Bombyx mori: one gene and its partner. The main gene of each other region encodes a partner of the protein of the gene in region 2 in a complex. Links are inferred from orthologs where the notes say so. Each region holds a gene or a part of one and is shown on either strand. Other genes may lie near its edges.

Evidence for each region. The genes of interacting proteins can lie anywhere in the genome.
Region 1: serine palmitoyltransferase 1 (region 2) and uncharacterized protein LOC101740127 share a complex: the UniProt entries of both Homo sapiens proteins name them as parts of the serine palmitoyltransferase (SPT) complex. The link is inferred for Bombyx mori from reciprocal best matches to the Homo sapiens genes SPTLC1 and SPTSSA.

What each region holds. Positions count from the first base shown.
Region 1 is NC_085130.1:2,444,483-2,448,669, forward strand, and holds the start of uncharacterized protein LOC101740127, read right to left. Parts: upstream 2,801-4,187; 5' UTR 2,592-2,800; coding exon 2,486-2,591; intron 1,236-2,485; coding exon 1,129-1,235; 3' UTR 1-1,128. UniProt on the Homo sapiens protein: Component of the serine palmitoyltransferase multisubunit enzyme (SPT) that catalyzes the initial and rate-limiting step in sphingolipid biosynthesis by condensing L-serine and activated acyl-CoA (most commonly palmitoyl-CoA) to form long-chain bases.
Region 2 is NC_085117.1:6,882,290-6,885,156, reverse strand, and holds the end of serine palmitoyltransferase 1, read left to right. Parts: coding exon 1-57; intron 58-587; coding exon 588-711; intron 712-1,471; coding exon 1,472-1,790; 3' UTR 1,791-2,367; downstream 2,368-2,867. UniProt on the Homo sapiens protein: Component of the serine palmitoyltransferase multisubunit enzyme (SPT) that catalyzes the initial and rate-limiting step in sphingolipid biosynthesis by condensing L-serine and activated acyl-CoA (most commonly palmitoyl-CoA) to form long-chain bases.

The sequences.
Region 1 (4,187 bases), on a different chromosome or scaffold from region 2:
TGAGATATAAGTTCTAAAGTCTCGGTATAGTTACAACGGCTGGCCCACCCTTCAAACCAAAACTCATTACTGCTTCACAGCAGAAATAGGCAGGGTGGTGGTACCCACCCGTGCGGACTTAAGAGGTCCTACCTACAGTAAGAACATACAAGATACATTCACTTCCACATGTCAGAATAGGTGTTCAGAATATACCGCTTTTTCATATTATACAGTACAATTATCGACACTCCCTGCAAAGTTTCAAAACTCAGTATACCAGATAATTCTGTATTTTCATCAAGTTTATACTTACATTTTTCTTATTTTTACTGTTAATACATTTACACTACATTACAGATATTATTATTATAAATAATAAATTATTTATAGAAAGAAAGTGAAATAAATCATACTGTCTGGATTTATAAGTCAGAATTACATTCACTGATGTGCCAACTTTTTTTTCCTACCTATGCTGATAGCCTTGAGAGTCTATTTCAGCTTCGCCCTAACATGTAGGTGAGCTCACGGGGCTCAAACCGGAGTGTTGCTAACACTGGCCCTAGCAAGAGCAGTGGTTTGCAGAATCTACCACCGGATCGGAATCGCGACCCACTGAGATGATCCGGCGAGAAACTCAGGGGGCTGGGTCTATGGGTTAATTCGCTCGTCGAGCCCGACGGTACACGTCCGAGGTTCGACGAGGGGGCCGGCCAATGTTTGTGGTACCTAAAAGCACCGTTAATGGATCGGGAGGATCCGTAAGGACGTGTCGTGCCAAAAATGCTATTTTATTTGGATTTTCACCAAGCCCCATTACATTTTGTGCAGACTAAAATTATATATATATATTTAAAGGTATTACTGTAATAAAATAAAAATTTAGAAGCGAAATACAAGGCATAAAGAATATTTAACATTTATATCCAATTCCCTTTACTACATTTTGTTTTTATTTATATACCACCTGACCCTAGATTCTAGTACTTAAATATAAGCCTTATCATTAAGAACACATGAGAGCCACAGTAAAAATGTAGTTCTTAATTTAAAAATAAGATAAAACATGCTTATTTCTATTGTTATATCGTACATAAAACAAGATTATGATGAAGTGTAACAATTTCTATGACATGATATCTCCATTCATGATGGAATGATCCCGTGATTCCCCCGCAGTCGTGATATGGCTGATATAGTGATGTAGTAGTTGAAGAACCAGAATAATCCAAAAAGTATTCCAAATACTATATCTGTGTGTTTGTTAAGGAAATTTTGTTTGTTTTTTTAAAATTCTGTTGGTATAAAATATATTTTTTATTTGTTTTTATTGCCCTTGTTGGCCAATGAACATATTGCCCACCTGATGGTGAGTGGTTACCATCGTCAATGGACTCCATAAATGCCAGGGGTAAAGCCAAGCCCCTGTCTGATAAAAAATATTGATACATTATGAATTTTTTTATAGTTAGACTGGTATATGTTTTTACTTAATTTTTGAATGCACTTGATGGATGGAAAATTTATAGCCAAACTTGAGGTTGAAGTCATAATTTTTCTAAATAAAGCTGCTGTTTGATTTTTGTAGCATTATTGTATTTCTACATTGCGGAAGTTAGCACCTAACTTACAACAAATTGTTAATATCAGGAAATCAATAAGAGGATAGATATGGGTGTACGATAAATTACTGAAGAATTATTTAAAACAATGAATTCACAGCAAAATCTATTTTATGATTTTCGAGCATAACTTTATTTTGATTCTCGACTATTAGTCTTTTAATGCTTTCTATCATCTGCAAAAAGACAACTACTAAGTACGCTATATGCTCATGTTAACACAATAGTAAATTAGATTCTTTCCTCAATTTATTCAATATTCTAATCAAATTGACATCTTTTAACTGGAACATGGTCTAAATAATTAGAGGTTCATATGCAGATAGCATTTACATTCATTATCATTGAAAAGGTCATAACTTGCAACATTGAAAATAAGAAACATTTTATTTCTTATGAGTCATGTAAGTCATTAAAAAAAATCACTTAGTTAATAAATTTTACAAAACTAGCACATGTATTAGCTTTTGATAGGCATTAACCCCTAGGGTGCAATAAACTAATTGATTACTGGCCTCTACCTTCTACCTTAGTTTTAATATGGAATATAAAGAATTGGAAGTCATGAAGAACTCATACACCCAAAAACTTTATTCTACATTTCATATTTTGGAATGATTTAATGTAACAAAGGGTTTTTTCCTCTTGTTGATTCTAGTACACTACCATTAAAAGTACTTATTCATCAAACCTAGCTAAGCTGGGAGATGACCATTATCATTCAGTTTTTCGAAACCTTTAAGTAATAACATTAATAAATGTGATTACGTCTATCCTCCTGAGTACATGTCTATCACAGAGTGAGAATTTTCCTAACCTAATTTTGAAAAGTTTTTGTATTTAAATGCTGATATGGTTTTTTTTAACTAAGAAAAGGATACGAATAGCTATTCTTTCCCAGGTTTCCACCATGTATAATTCAGTCGCCAATAGGTATCTAATGTACCAATAACTGATGAATTTCTTTACTTTCTCGATTAAATCCATTTCCTCTATTCACGCTTTTCGTGTTTCGTTCTGTTTAGATATTTTTTGGTTTGACCAGTATGGCACTTTTGAGTTGTAAATGGTTCGAAATTTTTGCCTAGACTGATTAGTCTACTTTTAAGAATTTTCTAAGAAAATCGTTGAAAATTCGAAAATGTAATAGAAACTCCACTGATACAAAACTCAATGATTTTAATTGTCATTGTTACTCAAAAACGAATGTCAATGTCAAACTAGCATTTTTTGGAAAATATATGGCCTCGTAACGAGACTTTTAAGCCAAGTCTTCTTTTCTTAAATTCAATTATTATTAAGAAAAATGAGATGAAGTTTGAGACTTTAATTGGTTGGGATAACTGGGATAAATGAGACGAGATGGGGTGAAATAATTTTTCAGTCATATGGTGGCTATTTACTGAGATTTTTTCAGTGAAATTTTTGGAAGAGCCCTCGATGATACATCCAGCTGCTTTGTTTCATTTTCTCACATGTGTGCACTCTCATATTTTTTAGATTTAATTTCAAAATTTAGACCAAGCCCCTTTTTTCCGCTTATTTTTTTTTTTAATTTATGAAGTTCCTCTTTGTATTTATTAATCATGATAATTGAAGACTATAAAATATACTACCCAGCGACGATGGCATTGCAAGAATGCTGGCATTGAAAGATGCGATTAACATATTCAAACTAAAAGGAGTAACTAGACGTGTGTTGATGAGGTTGAGGAGAGCGGCTAATTGAGAAAGGGAAGCGGAAAGTGGATTTAGGAGTTGCTATCGCTCTCTTTCCTCTCTCTTCAATCGGTCCCTCATTGCTGAGGATCGTGACTCTGTTTGATTCCGTCAACTAGCTGTCTCCATCGATCCCGTTCTGTAGCTTGGTAGAGTCCGTCTCTGACAGGTATTTTTAGGTCTTCTGCTATTTGATCCGACCATTGTTTGGGACCTCTACCCCTGGGCCTTTTTCCCTCGATTCTACCGGTCACCACAAGGCGTCCCAAATTGCTGGTATCCCTGCGTGCAATCTCTCTCTTTTACTACTGCATAATAATATCCATAAACGAACACACGCTTCACCCGATGTTAGGTAGTTAGTATTTAGTGATTCGTAGTTTAAAAAAAGGCTAGTTCTTTGTCCAGACAACATTATCCTGCTTTTATCATTTCTTGCCACCCACCTTGAGATATAAGTTCTAAGGTCTCAGTATAGTTACAACGGCTGCCGGCTTCAAGCCGAAAGGCATTACTGCTTCACGGCAGAAATAGGCGGGGTGGTGGTACCTACCCGTGCGGACTCACATGAGGTCCTACCACCAGTAAAGTTGTTGCTCTGCAAAAAGTTATTATATTAACTTATTTCTACACTTAACAATTATTATGATTATTTTCGATCCTGCAAAGAGAAACAACATTGAAGCTATTGCTTCAATATTTAAACCTTTTTTTAAATCTGCAAGTTTTTTAATTTCCTAAGAAAGCACGTTAACTTTTGAATGTAACAAAGCAAGAGAGCAATTCTAATTATAGAATGAACATAGCTTCCACCATAGATAATAAATACTATTATGATAGTCGAAGCTAATGCGCGGGGAATTT
Region 2 (2,867 bases):
GTGGCTTCTGTGCCGGTACACATTTCATCGTCGAACATCAGAGATTATCAGGACTGGGTAAATTTGTTACTTATTTTATATATGTGTTCGGATTAAAAGGGTTCAGGAAACTGGACATATGGAGGCAGAGTATTGCTGGTGTCCTGTAAATATATTTCTATCCTTTATGAATAACTAGCGACCCGCCCTCGCTTCGCTTCCGAAACTGTAATTTATTATTGATTTCTCCACTATTTAATGGATGATGTTATACATATAAACCTTTCTCTTCAATCACTATCTAGTACAAAAAACCGCATCAAAATCCGTTATGTAGTTTTAAAGATTTAAGCATACATAGGGATATAGGGACAGAGAAAGCGACTTTGTTTTATACTATGTACTGATGTTGGAATTACTTTCTCATATTGTATGTTAATTTATATTGAAAAACACAAGTTTCAACTCAACTATGATAAACTCTGCACAAATGCTTAGTGTAGTTGCTTAATTAAAATTTATAATAGTATTCGCTATGTTTTAACATAGATCAAAGGTTGAATTTATTATACAAGTTTTGCATTTCATTGTTAACTATTCCATTTCAGGGTACTGCTTCAGTGCATCTTTACCGCCCATGTTGACTCAAGCTGCCATTTCAGCTTTAGACATTCTGGAGGAAAAACCTTCAATCATAGAAGAGCTCAATGACCGATCTAAGATGATGAATAAGTAAGATGTCTGTTTACTTTTTTATTATCAGACCGCAGTTAAGAACTCCTTACTTACTTACCTTATTCAAGTAAACATTATAACCCTCAAAAAATGTTACCTAATCTTGGAAGTTGTCACAGCCTAAAAGATAAAGATATACTTGTCCAGTATACTTGTATCAAGTTGACAAGTAGGTAGGTATCACTGTTTACATTAAAATCTACAAATAAAGAAGGTCACAAGTGCTTACTAAAAATATCTTCCTGACCCATTAACTGTGCTTTTAGGCACCACAAGCACCGGTCACCGTCCTCGTCGAACTCGTCGCTTGCGACGAAGGGCTCGACGAGCGAATTAACCCACAGACACAGCTCGCTGAGTTTCTCGCCGGATCTTCTCAGTGAGTCGCGTTTCCGATCCGGTGGTAGTTTCTGCGAAGCACTGCTCTTGCTAGGGTCGGTGTTAGCAACGCTCCGGTTTGAGCCCCGTGAGCTCACCTACAAACGTTAGGGTGAAGCAGAAATAGCCTCTCAAGGCTATCAGCATAGGTAGGAATTTTTTTACTAAAAATAACATTGTAAAATAAAAATCATTTGTCAGTGATAGTACATAGCTGTGATTTCGATCTGATGCTTATATGTAAGTAATTTTCATGAAATACCCTCTTTAGAACTTAATGTGTTAACTATTTGATTGTTCTAAGTGTGCCATAAAAAGAACATATTATCACGAAACACAATTTTTTTCATAATAACAAACTATTTGTTAATATTTTCAGGGCTCTTGCTAAGTTAGACCACTACAGATACAGCGGTGATGAGATATCTCCGATCAAACATGTTTACCTCAAGGATGACCTGACTGATCGTCTCAAACATTCCTACTTAAGGAACATTGCTGCTTATTGCTTTGAGAAAGGCGTGGCCTTTGCGGTGTCCGCTTATCTGAGAGACGTCGAACATAACTGTCCCGAACCTTCCATAAGGTTGGTAGCGAGCAGGAAAATCGACAATGAAAACTTAAACTTAATATGCACGCTTTTGGAAACTGCTTACAAAGAGGTCGGACCCAAACCTGATTTGCAACCTGTTCAATAATGCCAAAATAATAGATAATTGTAATTTTATTATTTATTTAAGTTTATATTATTTTTTATATGATTATTACTAGATAATTTTCTACCTTGTTTTGGAAATTATGAAAGCACTGCCAATCTTATTCTTATTATTATTGAACGGTTACTATTCAAACATATAAAAAATGTATGTAATTTTTTTTATTTCTTTACTTAGAAATGTATAATAAAATCGTCAAAGTAAAATAATAATTGCTGGTCCCAAAAAATTAATTAATACAACTTAGATATGTAATGTTTGTGTTGTTATTTTTTAAAATATGTTTTAGATAACTTAAGTTGTATTTTAAAAATTGACATGCTATGTAATTGATATTAATTATAAGACCGTTCAGAAGTAAAAGCTGACATAATAACCCTCTTAAGGCTAAAAACACTTTTCTTTCTCCTAGAATCACATTCCTACTTAAGTTTTAAATAATTAAAATAATAATTATACAGCTTAGAATAATAACATTTGCATTTTGTTGTATTATCATAATATATATAAGTAAAATATATTGTAACACCGATGCCTTAATAAACAATAATATGTTTTAGTAGGACGTTTTATTGAAACATTTAGGACATAATACATAATACCAATGAACAAAAAGTTAAACAATGTTTTTTTCTAATTTAATTAAATATTTCTTGCAATTATAATTATTTAATGTTTTAAGCTTAATTTAACTTGTGATATTTTTGTGTATTTGAATATGGGAAACAAAATTGTGATAAATCAACTGATTATAGATGTGATCATAAGTTAGAGTAAAGGGAAAATCTGCAAACAGCCTTCAGCTACTTTTGTAGTGCGATTCCACTTCGATAAAGCGGCACGACACGAGAACCCTCTCATCGTGGCCGCCGGTAACCACATTCCCGATCCTGCGGAATGGAAATCAGTCGACGTCGCCCAAAACACGTCATCTCGGATCCTCCCGATCCACTAACGGTGCTTTTAGGTACTTCAAGCACCGGTCACGGTTCTCGTCGAACCCGTCGCTTGCGACGAAGGGCTCGGCGAGTAAATTAACTCTCAGACACAGCCCACTGA